3 linked regions of the Oryctolagus cuniculus genome follow. The protein of the gene in region 1 interacts with the protein of each later gene in a pairwise test. Links are inferred from orthologs where the notes say so. Each region holds a gene or a part of one and is shown in the gene's direction. Other genes may lie near its edges. The genes, in order: SREBF2, SP1 and NFYC.

What was found.
Region 2: the proteins of SREBF2 (region 1) and SP1 interact in binary tests that used the Homo sapiens proteins (3 or more experiments, as listed by UniProt). The link is inferred for Oryctolagus cuniculus from reciprocal best matches to the Homo sapiens genes SREBF2 and SP1.
Region 3: the proteins of SREBF2 (region 1) and NFYC interact in binary tests that used the Homo sapiens proteins (3 or more experiments, as listed by UniProt). The link is inferred for Oryctolagus cuniculus from reciprocal best matches to the Homo sapiens genes SREBF2 and NFYC.

What each region holds. Positions count from the first base shown.
Region 1 is NC_091442.1:117,824,246-117,828,854, forward strand, and holds part of SREBF2 (sterol regulatory element-binding protein 2), read left to right. Parts: coding exon 1-122; intron 123-424; exon of another isoform or gene 425-484; intron 485-2,220; coding exon 2,221-2,406; intron 2,407-3,680; coding exon 3,681-3,792; intron 3,793-3,928; coding exon 3,929-4,149; 3' UTR 4,150-4,609.
Region 2 is NC_091442.1:56,372,095-56,378,425, forward strand, and holds the start of SP1 (transcription factor Sp1), read left to right. Parts: upstream 1-2,871; 5' UTR 2,872-3,286; coding exon 3,287-3,616; intron 3,617-3,941; coding exon 3,942-5,457; intron 5,458-6,331. UniProt on the Homo sapiens protein: Transcription factor that can activate or repress transcription in response to physiological and pathological stimuli.
Region 3 is NC_091438.1:132,230,654-132,237,087, reverse strand, and holds the start of NFYC (nuclear transcription factor Y subunit gamma), read left to right. Parts: upstream 1-2,838; 5' UTR 2,839-2,927; coding exon 2,928-3,000; exon of another isoform or gene 3,001-3,113; coding exon of another isoform or gene 3,114-3,125; intron 3,126-6,434. UniProt on the Homo sapiens protein: Component of the sequence-specific heterotrimeric transcription factor (NF-Y) which specifically recognizes a 5'-CCAAT-3' box motif found in the promoters of its target genes.

The sequences.
Region 1 (4,609 bases):
CCTCGCTCTCCGGGAAGGCGGACGGGCAGCAGAATTCCTTCTGCCATTGCGAGAGAGCCAGCAGCCACCTGTGGAGCAGCCTCAGCGTCAGCGGGGCCACCTCTGACCCCGGCCTCAACCACGTGAGTGGGCGCAGCCGACCCCTCTGGGAGTCCTGGCACTGGTCTGGAAGGACACCGCCACCCGCCTGGGCGATCGCATGAGACAGGCCATGCTCCAGGCCCCTTTCGCACAGCACGGGCGGCTGGCCCAGGTGGAAGCTCGCGTTTCCACTGGCACCCGTGCTGGGCTCCCTCAGTCCCAGACCCAGCTGGCCAGGGCGCCATCTTTGCTGCAGGCAGCTTGCAGGACCTCCCTGTTCTGCAGGCCAGCCTTCGAGGGGGCCCACCTGCGTGGCAGCGCCCCCTCCTGGCGGGCAGCTGCGGTGCATTGTAGTTGCATTGCATGTTCTGGAAGTACCGTGCAATGTTTCCACAGTGCATCCCAGAGGCCTGCCCGGCCCTCGGACACTCGCCCCTGCCCCCGCCCCCGCCCAGGCCTTGACCAAGGACCCCCCCTTGGGGTGGGGATCCTGGCTAGAGGGCACTGTTGCCACTGCTGGGTCCCAAGGCCCAGCCAGAGACCAGAGGGGAGGGAGTGGAATGTGTTGCTGGGGTGGAGCATCGAGCGATCCGCTGAGCGCCTGGTTCAGCCCCCGCGACAGGAGGGGCCCAGGACCGGCCCAGAGGGCCAGCCTCGGTGATAGCCGGCACTTCACGCTGGACGCCGAGGGAGAGCCCAGGAGTGTGCCAGCCGCGCAAGGCCTGGCAGCTGACGGACCGGGCCCAGGATCGGGGGAGGGGCGCCACCTCCCGGCGTCTCTGCTGGGCTCTCCTAGTCTTCCAGAGAACAGGGTCGGCTGTGGTCAGGGAGCAGCGGGACACTTCGGCCCCTGGGGGCCCAGAGCTGCGGGCAGCCGCTCAGCTGGGGAACGAGCCTGGAAGAGGAGGCCCACGGAGCCCAAGGCTGTCCCAGGGCGGCCCGAGGACAGTGTGGCCCAGGAGCAGGGCTCCGAGCAAGCACAGGGTGGGTGGGGGTCTGGGACGAGGACAGCCAGGACTGAGGAGGTGAGGGACGGCCTGGGGACCTCTTAGGTCCCATCAGAGGGGAGCTCCTGCCCCCACCACTCGGCCTGTGCTGTGGGCGTGGCAGCAGGTGGGCAGCCTGGACTGGCGTGTGGTGTATGTAGCCCATACCCGTGAGGCTTCGTGCCCTCACACAAGCCAGTCCCCTGTGGATGAGGACCCTGAGACTCAGGGAGGAGAAGCTGATGCCAGGTTACGTGGCTGCACGCCGTGGCAGCAAGACGAGGATGGCAGCCAGGTCAGCTGGCCCAACAGCCAAGTGCTGAAGCGCACACGGTCCTGCCTTCCAGGAGATGAGTGCACACACACACACACACCCTGCCCCAGGAGATGAGTGCACACACACACACACACCCTGCCCCAGGAGATGAGTGCACACACACACACACACACCCTGCCCCAGGAGATGAGTGCACACACACACACCCTGCCCCAGGAGATGAGTGCACACTCACACACATACACCCTGCCCCAGGAGATGAGTGCACACACACACACACACACACCGCCCCAGGAGATGAGTGCACACACACACACCCTGCCCCAGGAGATGAGTGCACACACACACACACACCCTGCCCCAGGAGATGAGTGCACACACACACACACACCCTGCCCCAGGAGATGACTGCACACACACACACACACACATACACCCTGCCCCAGGAGATGAGTGCACACACACACACACACACCGCCCCAGGAGATGAGTGCACACACACACACCCTGCCCCAGGAGATGAGTGCACACACACACACACCCTGCCCCAGGAGATAAGTGCACACTCACACACACCCTACCTCTGCCCCTTGTAGGAGGCGGCCGTGGGCTTTCGGGTAGCTCGGCCCCCAGGCCTGCCACGGGGGACCCTAGGAGGTGGAGAACCTGTGCCTTCAGACCGCGTGGGTTCCTTCCTGCTCCTGCCCTGCCTGTGCTGTCAGAGCTGGGACCAAGCGCCAGCTGCCGGCAGTTCCCAGGCTCCGGGCACCCTGCTTCCTCCAGGGCGGCTGAGTGTGGCTGGGGCAGGGCCTGCGGGGCTGGGCCCCTGTTCTCAGGGATAGGCGGTCACCTGTCTCCCCCGTGGCTCACCCCCAGGTGTTCCAGCTGTTCACCTGTGACCTGCTCCTGTCGCTGCGGACAGCGCTCTGGCAAAAGCAGGCAGGCGCCAGCCAGGCCCTGGGTGAGACCTACCACGCGTCAGGCTCCGAGCTGGCTGGCTTCCAGCGGGACCTGGGCAGCCTGCGCCGGCTAGCACACAGCTTCCGCCCAGCCTACCGCAAGGTGAGGCCCAGCAGGTGGTGGTGGAGGGCAGAGGGGGTCTGTGGGGCCCAGGTCCTAGACCCAGCAGGTGGTGGTGGAGTTGGCCCTCCAGTCTCCAGGTGGCCGTCAGGCACCTGCTCGGGCCTGACGCTGGGTCAGGGCACACTGGTCCAGCCCCTGCTGGGCACCCCACCCTGAAGTGCAGTCAGATGCTGGGTAGGAGGGCTCTTTGGCCCTGTCCCCAGGGGAGCGCCATACTGATGGGAGTAAGAGTAAGTCTCCCGGAGCTACAGCCGAAGGGAAATGCACTGTAAATTTTTAACTGGGCCACGGGGCCTTGGTTCTGCTGCCTGACCATCTCCAGGTCACATCCCCTTGGCGCGGCCACAGCATCTGAGGACAGTCCTGTAACCGGGCCAGCGGGACTCGGGTCATGCCTTGTCTCTGATTTTCACCCGAGTTATTTTCGGGCCACTTGAGTGAGGAGACCCAGGAGCCGAGCGGGCTACCTGTAGAAGGCTGCCAGAAAGCAGAGGGGGCCGAGATGGAGGTGCCCTCGCCCTGAGGTGCGGGGACCTCATAGGCCACGCTGGCCAGGTCACAGGCCACACTGGCCAGGGGCCGCCGTCCAAACGGCAGATAGAACGCGTCATCCAAGAAGCAGTCCATGCAAAAGAAGAAGTGCACCCCTGGTTCGGGGCAGCACCCCTGCCGCTGGGACCCGCGCTGGCCACAGCCCCCAGCTCACGGCGCAGCCCCTCAGCTGCCTCCTAGGCACAGAGCCTGCCCACGGACGGCAGGAGAGCTGGGAAGAGCCTGAGACCTGGGCAGGCCTGAGCTTGCTCCCCGCTCCCCTCACCCCTCACCCTGACCTGAGAGCGGACCCTGTGTGCGCTCTTCCTCCCGGGAGCACAGGAGGGGAGGGGTGCAGGCCCCCTCTGGTACCAGCCCAGCTGTGCCCCACCCCCACGCCGGCCTCCCTGGCCTGCCGTCCGCTGAGCCGGCCTCGGGTGCACGTCAGGGCACTCTCGCCAGCCGAGGAAGGCAGGCCTGTTGCCTCTGGCCTTGTCTTGCTCCTGCCCCCACCAGCTGGCCGGTGCCTTGTCCCCCATTTCCGCCACTCATCCAGGCTCCGGTTTGCCTCGGGTACAGCAGAGCTGGCTGGAGCGAGGAGCGAGGAGCGAGGAGCGAGGTGGGGGCGCGAGGAGAGCAGCCGCAGAGAGGCGCAGGCAGTGCGCACGGGCGCGGAGCGGGAGCACCTGGGACTGACTGCATGTCCTCCTGCCCCTCCCCAGGTGTTCCTGCACGAAGCCACCGTGCGCCTGATGGCGGGGGCCAGCCCCACCCGCACGCACCGGCTGCTGGAGCACAGCCTGCGGCGCCGCAGCACCCAGAGCACCAAGCACGGTGAGTCCGCTGCCGGCCGCCCCGGGCCGGCGAGGGGCGCAGCCGCGTGGGAGGGGTGGGGCTGAAGGGAACGCCCCACAGAAAGGCCTGGGGACAGCGGCTCCCCACTCACCCACGCGTCCCCTCCCTCCCGCAGGAGAGGTGGACGCCTGGCCCGGTCAGCGAGAGCGGGCCACCGCCATCCTGCTGGCCTGCCGCCACCTGCCCCTCTCCTTCCTCTCGTCCCCGGGCCAGCGGGCAGTGCTGCTCGCCGAGGCGGCCCGCACCCTGGAGAAGGCGGGCGACCGGCGCTCCTGCAGCGACTGCCAGCAGATGATCGTCAAGCTGGGCGGCGGCACGGCCATCGCCGCCTCCTGACCGCCCCAGCCGGCCCTGCCCCCCCAGGCCGCCCCCTCTGTCCCTGTCTCCGCATTCTGAGAGCTGGGGGTGGGCCTTGTCTCGAGCTGTCACCGTGCCCCGAGGCCTTTGGCTCACCTCCGGCCAGTGTGCCCGGCACGGCCCCTTAGAGCTACTGTCGTAGGTGCCGGATCGGCCGGGACGCTGGGAGGAGACAGCAGGGTAGGGACTGGGCGCCCTGCGGGGAAGCCCCCGCCCAGGCCTCTCCCCCGCCCAGGCCTCCCCCCGCGGACGAAGGCCCCGACCCGGCGCTCTGCCCAGCATGCCCCTCCCCTTTTTATATGAATGTTTTTATATCGTGTGCTTGGGGAAGCTGCTGCGGCCTCTTCCGCCCGGGCCTGAGCCAGCGCGTCGTCTCCCCTCCTCCTCGGGGCAGCTGGGAGCCAGGTGGGAGCCGGAGGCAGGCCTGAGGGCGGATGGA
Region 2 (6,331 bases), about 61 Mb from region 1:
AAAAAACTAGGCCTTTATTCGCATCACTTGGGATAAAATCAAACCTATTTTCCATTTCCAGCACAGACTAGCTCAGATCCATGGTGAAAGCACAGGCTTGGGAATTAAATAGAATCAAAATTTAACTGAAGTATCTAAGCCTGTTTCGGTCATCTGTCCCAGGAGGTGCCAGTCTCTTCAATCTGTAGGAGTTAAGTTAGATAACAGATGTGAAATGTTTGCAGTACAGCTCCACAGAGTCAGCTCCTCTCCCCGCCACCCCCAGCAGGGTTAGGTGTGGTCCACTGCTGCATACACTGAACAGCCGTGAGTAATACCGTTTCTTCCTTTCCAGGAAGTTTCTTACCAACGTGTTTCTTAAGCTCATCTAGGAACCCATCACTTGAAAACACTCGTTCTCAAGCCCCACCCCAGAGATTCAGATTTCTTAGGTCTGGGGAGGGGGGTCTAGGAATCTCCCCGATATTGTCTGAGGAACTGCTGACACAGGGAGAGGTAGCTGATGGTAATCTGATAACACTTTATAAACAAGGCAAGGCGATGGCGCCCTTTTGAGCTGACCTGGGAGGAGAGGCGGGACTTGTCAGGGGCCAGAAGGTAAAATCAGAAAGGTATTTTACAACAAAGCCAATCTTATTAAGCCTATTTACATAAGGCATTGTTGTATTCACTTAAGGACTTCCCAGCAAACTCTCTGGGACAAACTTCTGGGGACCTACGACCCAGAAGCTGTGCGATTTCTGCCTTCTGCCGATACACTTTTAAGGCACCTAACACAGGGGCCCAGACCCTGGCCAGGGCGGCAACAGCCTTGTCTCTACCTGCAAGTCTTACTAGGAGGATCCAGATAGTAACACCCGAGAACTTGTAATGAGGTGCTGTATAATAATGAAGTGACTCCACGTTAACGACCCAAGTGCTACAGGGAATGACCTCATCGTGTCATTGACAAGCCATCAAGGCCCGGGGAAAAAAGACAAGATGGAGGCCCGCAATTCAGGTGCGCCGGGTGAAAGCTATTACTTTTGTACAAAAAGCCGGAGCTCGGCTACCTTGCTTTATGCTTCGTTTGCATTTACAACTAAGGGGTGGGGTTTGGAAGTGGCTTCTAAGACCCCGACCGTGCGAGGTTCCCCCATGCACTTCAGCTTCCAAGACGAATTCTCGAAAAGTTAACCCGCTGAGCAGCTCAGTGTTGAACGCCTTTGTCTTAATAAAATGGCGTTTGCTGGAGTCTTATAAAGACCTTGCAAATCGGTCAGCTCAGTCACAGCCGATTTCGTGAGCGCTGTCGCCAGGTCTCGTCCCTCCGGAACTCCCAAGGGTTTCCACCCACATCTGGAGGCAGCCGCCCGCTGGCCACCCACCCGCGGAGGGGAGCGGCGTGAGAGGCACTTTTCCCTCCTCCTTATTCCACCCCCATATATGAAAACCAAAACGAGCCCCCGCGGGCGAGGCACAACTACGCGCCGAGTGTCCTGGTTCTGCCACTTGTTGAGCTGCAGGGCTCTGCTGACGCGTACCACCTAATCACCGTAAAGACGTCCCCAGAGGAGGGCCAACATGGCGACGGACTTCTCTTGGCACAGCCCAGTTCCCTCCCTCATGATGGGAGGCCCAAATAACACCCATTGCCCAATTTGGAGGCGGTGCCAGACTCACCTCGCTCCCTCATTGGCCTGAGTAACTGAGGGAGAAGCCAATTCACCTCTGCCCACTCTAAGTTCCCGCCTACAGAGCCCACTCGGAATTTAATTGGTTTTTAGTTCACGTCAATATGCGTCCTCTTCCGTCTCTTTTCAGCATTTACCCAATCATAACTTTCCTGGCTGCCCGCCTGATTTCTGATTGGCTATGATCAGCTTCAGCCCAGCCCATTCCGGGCTATTTCTTACCTCTCCTCCCACCAGGACTTTGCCCAGGCACGTCCCGGATTGTGGTTGGTCATTGATGTGTCATTTCTATCGAAGCTCTTCCTATCGCTACCTCTCAGGGATCCCGCCTGCTGGCTGACTGGCTTATTTCCAAGCCTATCATCTCTAGCGCCCGCCTACCTTCACTTCCTGCATTCTTCATTGGCCTTGAAAATTGAGGGGGCGGCCTTTTTGGGCGGATACCAGGCATTCAACTTTGTCTTACACGCCTCAGGGAGCGAGTGAGTATTGTCATTGGATAGCCTGCCCGCCTTTCTTCTCCAAGTCCCTCCTTTCCCCCTCCCTCATTGGGCGGGGCAGCACTGAAGGGGCGGGGCCCAGGCTGGGCTTGCGGCGCGCTGCTCCCTCCTCCTTACCCCCCCCCTCCCTGTCCGGTCCGGGTTCGCTTGCCTCGTCAGCGTCCGCGTTTTTCCCGGCCCCCCCCAACCCCCCCGGACAGGACCCCCTTGAGCTCGTCCCTCAGCTGCCACCATGAGCGGTAAGGATGAGTCCACTCCACGCTGAGGGGTGGGAGAGGAGTGAGGGGGCGCGCGCGAGGGCAGACCGGGCGGTCCCCGCCGTGAGGGGGGGCGGGCGGGAGGCGGCGGCGGCGGCCTTGGTCCCGCCCGGGGCGGAGGGAAGGGAGGGAGAAGGGGCAGTGGCGGGGCCTCCGAGAAGGAGGGGGATGGGCCGCCCGCCCCGGGGGAGGGGGCAGCGTGGCCTCGCCCGCCCCCTGCCCGCCCCGGCCACGGGGGGGACGGCCTTACCCCCCACAACTCGGCCTCCCGCCTCAGGCTCCTCCCGTCGGGGGGCTGGAGCCGCGGGGGCGGCCCGAGCAGGGCAGGCCCCGCCCGGGCCAACCGCCTCCCTGGTCCGCCCTCCGGTCGCCGCCTGCCCCTAGGCCCTCCTCCCCCCACTTTCCGTAGACCTCCCCTCCCCCCCAGCGTCCCGCCCTTTCCACGCCCCTCACCCCGAAACCGCCCTTTCCCTCCAGGGCCCGCCCTTTCCCCGCCCCGAAACCTTCTGATTGCTCACTCCTGCACCCCTTTATCCCCTTACCTGTGGTCCCCAATGGTTCCCCACTCCCGCTTACCGTTTCTCCTTCCCCCCTTTTCCCCTGTCTCCTCTCGGTGCATTTTGTACTTGGATTTTTTGCCTCCATCGCTCTTGTCCCTAATTTTAGCAAGCTTTCCATCCACCCACATGTTGTTTGGCCTTACCTGTCCTGCTCCTTTCTACCCCCAGGACACGTTTTCTTATTTTGAAACCCTTTGTACGGGCCTGCGTGGCCTATTCCCAGAGCACCTTTTTCTGAGTTTAATTTTTGTGCAAGGAAAACCTGAGGCCAAACTTCGTGGCCGTGAGCCTGGCTCATGACACATGTGCCTTGCAGTTCCCCCCTGCCCCAATGCATTTTCTTTGTACTTCCTGTTAGTCACTGCTGTTTCATCATAGCCTTCTGTAAACTCTCCTGCACTCTATCCACCCCCTCCTCCCCTTCCCCCACGCTAAGTTGTTTTTTCTTTTTCATTCTTTTTTTAGACCAAGATCACTCCATGGATGAAATGACAGCAGTGGTGAAGATTGAAAAGGGAGTTGGTGGCAATAATGGGGGCAATGGCAACGGTGGCGGTGCCTTTTCTCAGGCTCGGAGCAGCAGCACGGGCAGCAGCAGCAGCAGTGGAGGAGGTGGAGGCGGGCAGGTGAGTGACAGCCGGAACTGGGGGCGGGGAGGTGTTGAGAGGATGGTTGTAAATACTCGTAGAAAACTGGCTTACTCTTCCCAGAAGAGTTTTAGGAGAGGATTACATTTTATAGATGGGGAAGCCAGCGCAGAGACTCAAGGAACTTAGATTCGCTAAAGATGGTAGTTTGCAGCAGTACCGATAGGACCTCCTTTCTGTTTTTGGGTTGGTTTTTTCCCCCCCTTTTTAATCTTCATTGTGTTGCTGTTTATTTGTTGTATACTGCCCCCTAGGCTGGTGGCTGGGTGTCACTAACTCCTCTCATCTCCCCCTTTCTGGCCAGGAATCCCAGCCATCCCCTTTGGCTCTGCTGGCAGCAACTTGCAGCAGAATTGAGTCTCCCAATGAGAACAGCAACAACTCCCAGGGCCCCAGCCAGTCAGGGGGCACAGGTGAGCTTGACCTCACCGCCGCACAACTTTCACAGGGTGCCAATGGCTGGCAGATCATCTCCTCCTCCTCTGGGGCTACCCCTACCTCAAAGGAACAGAGTGGCAGCAATACCAATGGCAGCAATGGCAGCGAGTCTTCCAAGAACCGCACCGTCTCTGGTGGGCAATATGTAGTGGCTGCCACCCCCAACTTACAGAACCAGCAAGTTCTGACAGGATTACCTGGAGTGATGCCCAACATTCAGTACCAAGTAATCCCCCAATTCCAGACCGTCGATGGGCAGCAGCTGCAGTTCGCCACCACGGGGGCCCAAGTGCAGCAGGATGGTTCTGGTCAGATACAGATCATACCAGGTGCAAACCAACAGATCATCACAAACCGAGGAAGTGGAGGCAACATCATCGCTGCTATGCCAAACCTGCTTCAACAGGCTGTCCCCCTCCAAGGTCTGGCCAATAATGTGCTCTCAGGACAGACTCAGTATGTGACCAACGTCCCGGTGGCCCTGAACGGGAACATCACCTTGCTACCTGTCAATAGCGTTTCTGCAGCTACCCTGACTCCCAGCTCTCAGGCAGTCACCATCAGCAGCTCGGGGTCCCAGGAGAGTGGCTCACAGCCCGTCACCTCAGGGACGACCACCATCAGTTCCGCCAGTTTGGTGTCATCACAAGCCAGCTCCAGCTCCTTTTTCACCAATGCTAACAGCTACTCCACGACGACTACCACCAGCAACATGGGAATCATGAATTTCACCACCAGCGGATCGTCAGGGACCAACTCTCAAGGTCAGACACCCCAGAGGGTCGGGGGGCTGCAGGGGTCTGATGCGCTGAACATCCAGCAGAACCAGACGTCTGGAGGCTCCCTGCAGGCAAGTCAGCAGAAGGAGGGAGAGCCAAACCAGCAGACACAGCAACAGCCGATTCTGATCCAGCCTCAGCTAGTTCAGGGGGGACAGGCCCTCCAGGCCCTCCAAGCGGCGCCGTTGTCAGGACAGACCTTTACAACCCAGGCCATCTCCCAGGAAACCCTCCAGAACCTCCAGCTGCAGGCTGTTCCAAACTCTGGTCCCATCATCATCCGGACACCAACCGTTGGGCCCAATGGACAGGTCAGTTGGCAGACTCTTCAGCTGCAGAACCTCCAAGTTCAGAACCCACAGGCCCAGACAATCACCTTGGCCCCGATGCAGGGTGTTTCCTTGGGGCAGACCAGCAGCAGCAGCACCACCCTTACACCCATTGCCTCAGCTGCCTCCATCCCTGCCGGCACAGTCACTGTGAATGCTGCTCAACTCTCCTCTATGCCAGGCCTTCAGACCATTAACCTCAGTGCGTTGGGTACGTCAGGAATCCAGGTGCACCAGCTCCCAGGCCTGCCGTTGGCCATAGCAAATGCCCCAGGTGAGTCTTCGAGTCTTTTGGAAGTCTGCATTTATAATGAACTGACTAGCATAGCAGCTGAAACTATGGAGTGGGAAGAAGGGAACAGCACCTTTTGGGCTAACACTTGCCCCAGGGCTGGTCAGTTAGAGAAATAGCAGTGCTTCTTTTGAAATCATGTGGAACTAAATTAACAGAAACTTTTCAGTTAATCTGATGTGAAAGGAGCAATTCTGGGCAATGTCCTGAGGTTTATGTGCTTCCCAGTCTCTGGTGTTGCAGGAAAAAGGTTGAAGAAGTGTCTTTTTGTTTGTGTGTTTGTTTGTTTTTGGATACAAGGTCAGAGAGTAAATATTTTGGGCCTTGTGGCCAGCATATGATCTCAGTCACGTACTCTTTGTTTGCGTGTTTTTTTTTTTTAAGTGTTCATTTTAATTGAAAGGCAGAGAGACACACAGAAAAACAAAGAGATCTTCTATCTGCAGCTTCACTCCCTAAAAGCTTGCAAAACCTGGGGCTGGTCAGGCTGAAACCAGGAGTTGGGGCCTCTATTCGAGTCTCCCACATGGGTGGCAGTGGCCCAAGTACTTGAACCATCATCTTGCTGCCGTAACAGGAAGCTGGATTGGAACAGTGTGGAGCAGCCAGGACTTGAACCTGCACTTTGACATGGGATGGGAGCCGTGGCTTAACCAGCTGTGCCACAGTGTCCATCCGTTTGTGTGTATGTGGTTTTTAAACACTCCTTTGAAAATGTAAAACCGTTCTTAATTCTATGGACTAACTCCTGCATAGGATACAAATTGATTATGAGCTTCATCTGTCAGGTTTTTCTCAAGAACTGTAACTCCTAATCGAGGGGAAAGTGATCTAACGAGTTCCAGAAAGTTTTTCA
Region 3 (6,434 bases), on another chromosome or scaffold:
CAGGAGCTGGGAGCTTCCTCCAGGTCTCCCAAGAGGGTGCAGGGACCCAAGGACTTGGGCCATCTTGTACTACTTCCCCAGGCCAGAGCAAAGAGCTGGATCAGAAGCCGGGACTCAAACCAGTGCCCATATGGGATGCCGGCCACTGCAGGGGGCGGCCTTACCCGCTATGCCACAGAACCGGCCCCAGTCCCTTAGTATTTTAATGTTTAATGTTAATGGTTTAGTTGTTAGTTGTTTCAAGTCTTAGTAATAAAATTTCTTTTGACTTACAGGGCACTGTTTTGTCAGATATTTGGCTAGGTCTGTAGCCGTCAGGTCAATTTTTTTTTTTTTTTTACAGGCAGAGTGGACAGTGAGAGAGAGAGACAGAGAGAAAGGTCTTCCTTTGACGTTGGTTCAACCTCCAATGGCTGCCGCGGCCAGCACACTGCGTCTGGCGCACCGCGCTGATCCGATGGCAGGAGCCAGATATTTATCCTGGTCTCCCATGGGATGCAGGGCCCAAGGACTTGGGCCATCCTCCACTGCACTCCCGGGCCACAGCAGAGAGCTGGCCTGGAAGAGGGGCAATTGGGACAGAATCTGGCGCCCCGACCGGAACTAGAACCCGATGTGCCGGCGCCGCAAGGCGGAGGATTAGCCTAGTGAGCCACGGCACCGGCCTGTCAGGTCAAATTTAATATTAGCCAGATTTCTAATTGTTGAACTAGTGAGGATGACTAATGATTTGTGCTTTCTGCACATATATGTGGCACCTAAACTTTCCTTGGATATGCCTTTAAGTGCTCCATCTCTTGGTTTTAGCAGTGTGGTGCGAAGGAAAGAATACCATTCTAGGAAGGACCTGGGTTTGCATCTAGATGTATGGCTAGGGACCGGTTATTTAACTTCTCTGAACCTCACTTGTCTAGAAAAGATCTTACTTACTGATCTAGTGAAACAGCTCTGTGGAGTCTAGGATATTTAGCTTTGAAGGGAGAAAGCAGATCTAAGGAAATTATTAAATAACTTAGATAATGGTGTGATGTTTCCATCTGAATGTCTCACTTAAAAAAAAAAAAAAGACATGTTCATTGATTTTACCATATTAGGAGCCTCCTCTTAAAACCTAAGCAGTTGGTCCCAAAATCCATGAGCAAATGTGACCACCACTGTTGAACTTCAGTACCCCCTGATGTCTTTAGTAACCACATTGAGTCAAATAAGGATACTCATAATATTTGTCCTGAGACAGTCCTGCTGCTTATTCTTGAAAATGTAGAAGTAACCTTTTTTTTTTTTTTAAAGATTTTATTTATTTACTTGAGAGGTAGAGTTACAGATAGAGGGAGAGACAGAGAGATCTCTCATCTACTGGTTCACTCCCCAAATGGCCGCAACAGCCGATCTGAAGCCAGGAGCCTGGAGTTTCTTCTGGGTCTCCCATGAGAGTGCAGGCCCAAGCACTTAGGCCTTCTTCTACTGCTTTCTCTGGCCATAAGCAGAGAGCTGATCAGAAGAGGAGAAGCCGGGGCCCTAACCAGTGCCCATATGGGATGCTGGTGCCTCAAGCGCATGCTCAGCTCACTACACCACAGCAGTAGAAGTAACCCTAAAAACTAAATGGGGCAGGCGGTTGGTGCATCTGTTAAGCGGCTGCTGGAGACGTTTTAGAATGGGTCAGTCCTAGCTCTGCTTCCCATTCCAGCTCTCTACTAATTAGCATCCTGCGAGGAAGCAGCTGGTGACCCAAGTAGTTAGGTCCCTGCCACCCTTGTAGGTGCTCTGGGTTGAGTTCCTGGCCCCTGTGGCTTTAGATTGGCCAAGCCTTGGCTGTTGTAGTCTTTGGGAGTAAACCAGAGAATAAGAGATCTCTGTCTCTCTGCCTTTCAAATTAAATAAACAAGAGAAAGAGAGGGAGAGAGAAAGAAGGAAAATTAACCAGCAACATTTTGTGACCCCCTAAATAAATTAATCCATCAAACTATAATCAACTTTTAACAATACAGTCACTGACACTCTGTATTCTTTGCCAGTTTTTTCCACCTTTTTCATTGTATTTCCTTCTTGGTTCCTGGTTGGCTTTTTGGGAGTGCCGCTGCCCCTGCCACTGTCATATATTATCCCCAGATTTTCCTACAGTTTGTGTTTTAAGATAAATTGCTTTGCCCTGGTACTAATCCGTGCTTTTAAAATTACTATAAACATATGATAGATACCTGTTAGAAATCCTGCAAATTATTCTATGGCCACTGGCCTCACTGCTTGTTATTGTTAGAGCTACTGAGGTATTGGGGGCGGGGGGCAGTTTTCTTTTTTTCTTTTTTTTTTTCCTTTCTGTTTAATGCTCCACGGAAAACTGAAGGTGATTATAACTTTCCGACCTTGTGCACATTGCTTCTCTGGTTTACTGCCATAGGATACTGTAGCAGTATCTTACAGACATCTTTGATGACCAATCAGAAGCAGTTAAATTACCTTAAATTTTTTAAATGGAACTCTGACAGCCAATAAGAAATCCCTTGGGTGGGAACTGTAACAACCCTTTCGCCTGATTTTCAGAACAATTCTAAATTTGCAGTCTCCTGTTTTGGAAGCACATGAGACTGTAGTGCATCTGCTGTGTGCATTTGCTGAGCATTTCCAGCATTTAAGTTCCCTGTAGTTTGAAGTCTGAATCTGACCCCTGTTCTGCTTCTCAAGGTAACTTTAAAACAGGAAGTGTACAAAGGAGGTAACTGATGACGTGAACAGCCAATCATGTCTTTGTGTTCTTAGCCGATAAAGCAGCTCAGCCAATGGGACTACTCTGGAGGCAAGGTTTGGTGTCAAATAGCATGCTAGATTGAATGCCTTTGACTGTTAAAGTGGAAGGAGGCTGCAGGGCTTCATTGGAGCCTCGGAGTTTTTCACTGAGGCAGGGGTCAGCTGAAAGACAAAGAAAAATGGCGAATAGTTTGCTGGGGGGTGGAGGGACAGCTGTTCGGGCTTTCACTGGAGTGGACATTCCAGACTCAGGTTTCTGCATCTCCTGCTGCCTTTTGTTTCCTCCGTCCTTTTGGGGGGGGAGGGATAGGAGTGACTTAAATTCTCCTAGTCCGAGGAGATATAAATAACTACATGTAAAATTAATGCAGTTCCCGGTAAGTTTAATTCTTTGTTTTGTGTTGAAATGATAGAAACTGTTTAGCTTCAGAGAGTGTAGACAAGTTGCACTGTTTCAGAAAATGGCCACTTTACATTCCATGCATACCTTTTGGTGCACCTAGAATACCTTGCTCTGTTTAGATGTTGCATGTCCTTCAACTGGGGTTTCTTTTCCTAGTTGAGTTTTGACAAGATCACGTACATGAAGAAAGGCTAATCATTTTTCAGGGGCACACAGAAGCAAAGCACTTTATCTTTGCCTTGGGTAAACTTAACTGTTTTCCAAATAATTTTCCTTTGTTCAAGTGCACTGAAGCTTTCCTACAGAATAAGCTGAGTTGTTGTCAGAGTTTTTCTGTTTCCATGTGCTTTGTTGACATCTGTGTTATCAGAGGTGGAAGAACACTATTGCTTTCGAAATTTGTGTGAAAATATAATTTGCACTGATGCAGGTTCTCCTGGCGAAGGCCCACATGTTAATGTGAGATTCTCCCATAACTTTCTTGATTTACCTGTCTTCTTCTGGAGTCTAATTACCATTAATTGATTTATTAACAATCTTTGTTGTAAAATGCACATTTTAGCTTGGAATGCTGGTTAGAAACATCCTACTCCAGGTATCTTTGCAGTGACAAGAGCAAGTCTTTTTCCATCAATTTCACATACTTTGTCAGGTGTTGATTTGGTTCTTTAAAATAATGTTAGCTAAATGCTTTTCATTTTCTGTGTGGAGTATTTAAAATGGTAATTTACCTGCAGTTTGTGAATAGGGAAGTTAAGAGTGCAAGCATTCTGTCTTGCCCTTGATACACCCCTTTAGTGATATGAAGCTAAAGTAGGTTGATAATCAGTAACTAACCAGTTCTTTTGAATAGTGACATCTTCAGTCCCTTGTGTTGAGGTCTGTAATATACCTGATTTTAAAAGGCAGCTCTTTGTTTTCTTTTTATTTGCAAATACGGAATGAAGGTCATTGGAACATTTCTGCAGCAGACTCAGGGTGAAGCAGTGAGCCAGCAGCCCTCGTTCTCTGGGCAGGGAAAATGAGCAGGCCCTGTTAGAGAAGTTTGGAGGGTGTGATTTGCCTTCCCTGGCCTCCCCTCTAGTAAAGGGTTTACTTAGAGTATCAGTAGGGGGTTAGATTTGGGCTCTGGTTGTTGGAATGGTGTAGAAGTCAAAGTTCCTGGATGCAGGCCTCTGTCGTTGCTCGAAAAAGTGACCTTGAAAAACTGCCGAGCAGTTAAAAGATTGAAGGACAAAGTTTGTACAGATTTGGACCGAAAAGCTCTATTTAAGATGAAACGAGACTGCTTCTGATGTTCAACTTGAGTGTTTAGTAGGAATATATTACAGATTCATATTAGTTTTCAAGCAGTAAGACAATAAGGCTGCATTCATTCCCTCTTCCACTCTTTTCTGTCCCCACCCCCGCAAGAACAACAGAATAAAAAAAAACTCTCAATCTTTTTGGTGTGATAGTTGAGTATCATAGTATCATGCCACTTGTCATCTTTGTGATCTAGGGGGTGCTTGGTGAAAAGTGGTATTTCAGGAGTTCAATGTTGCATTTACCAAACTTCTTTTGGGAGATTGGCGTGCTTATGGTAAGAAAATGTTCATTTTGGGAATGTAAGTCCTAAGAGAAAGGACTGCGTTAAAAATTACATTTTAAGGAATGATTATTTTAATTGAAGCTTACTTTTTAGAAGTCCTTGATTTATATGTTATCTGTTGGTTTCAGGTTTTTCTTATATGATTTAAAAAACTGTTGTAGATGTTGAGTGACCCTACTGGATCTGGATTAGAAGGCCTGGAGCATAGGAAGAAAAAGTTAAAGTTGGGGTACCGTATGAGGCCTAGGTAAAACTGTTGACTTGAGAACTTTATGAATTTAGTTTCTTGGAAAGCTGTCTAGCCTAGATTTTTTACCTTTTCAGGGTCAGGGACTCTCTGAGAATCTGACCCACCATCTGGAGAAAAATGAACGTAAGCATGCCTATGCAGATCTTCTGGTAGCTAAGATGTTTCTAGTGTATGTTGAACAGCATTTATATCAAACACTTTAGCCAGATAAGTGTTTTCCAGAGAAATAAAAACTTTACTTCCAGAAAGATCAGAGCTCTTCTAGAGCTAACTGTAACTTAACTGAGGTGACTGTATGGGTGGGTACGGGGCCTTAGATGGGGTCTAAGATTTGGATATTTATTTACTTTGATTAAAATATTTTGAGGCAGCACAGCACAAGCCTTTTAAAGTCAGGAAATGGTGTTCAAGTTCCATCCAGGTCGATTGCCAGCTTTGTGAGCTTGGACAAGTCAGCCATTTAGTGTCAGCTTCCTCATGTATAAAAATGGGACCCCAGACAGTGCCCTCTTACTTAGTGCTGAGTCTTGAATGAGATCATGTGTATTTGTGCTTTGGAAATTGTGAAGTACTGCATAAATATTAAGTTACTAATATCAGACTGAATCCAAACTATTGGGGGATTAAATGTGTATGAAGATAGGTGTAGCATCAGAGGGAAAAAATGCCAGTATTTAACATATTTACAGATTTTTAAAAAACTGACATCTCTTTTTAAACTAGTTCTGCATGCATTCACCTGCATATTCCTGTTTATGCAAGCATGACCCATTTGATGCATATGTTAAGTTCATTAAACCTTCATCCATTAAGATTCCTATGAAAGAATTTTAACTCTTTTGTCAAAAATTAAGGACCTCTTAGAATAAGATGAAAGGGGGATGCTGATTAGATTAGACTGAGGGATCTTGGAGTGAAAGCTGGGAGTCTGTTCTGATTAGATGTTGAAATTTGCATTATAAGGCAATAAGTTGTAATCATTGCAGATGTTTGCTAAGCAGAGTTACATTTTCAGTTTGTGCACCAAATATTTATAAAGTAAACTGTAGCCCTCTTTTATTTGCTTTGAGGTCATGTGATCTCCTTTCTGTCAGTCTTCAGCTTGCAATGTCCTAGCAAGCAAGTAAATGTTGAGATGAAGACTTTCTTTTTTACATAAATTGGCCTCAATAAAATCTAAATGCTAGTTTACATTTCATCTCATTGATACCTACTGTAAGATACCTCTAACATAAATGGTAGAAGCCCGTAGGGATTTCTTTACCGATTTTCCATGGCTAGTGTCATCTATTTTTAGGGCTTCCCTTTTTTTTTTTTCCAGGGGTGGGGTTGATATTTTGTGATCTATTTAATTTCCTGTCCTATTAAGTCACTTCCTCTCAGGCATGGTCAGTCAGTATTGACGTCAGCTCTTTTCTGTGCATTGAGTCATATCAGACAGG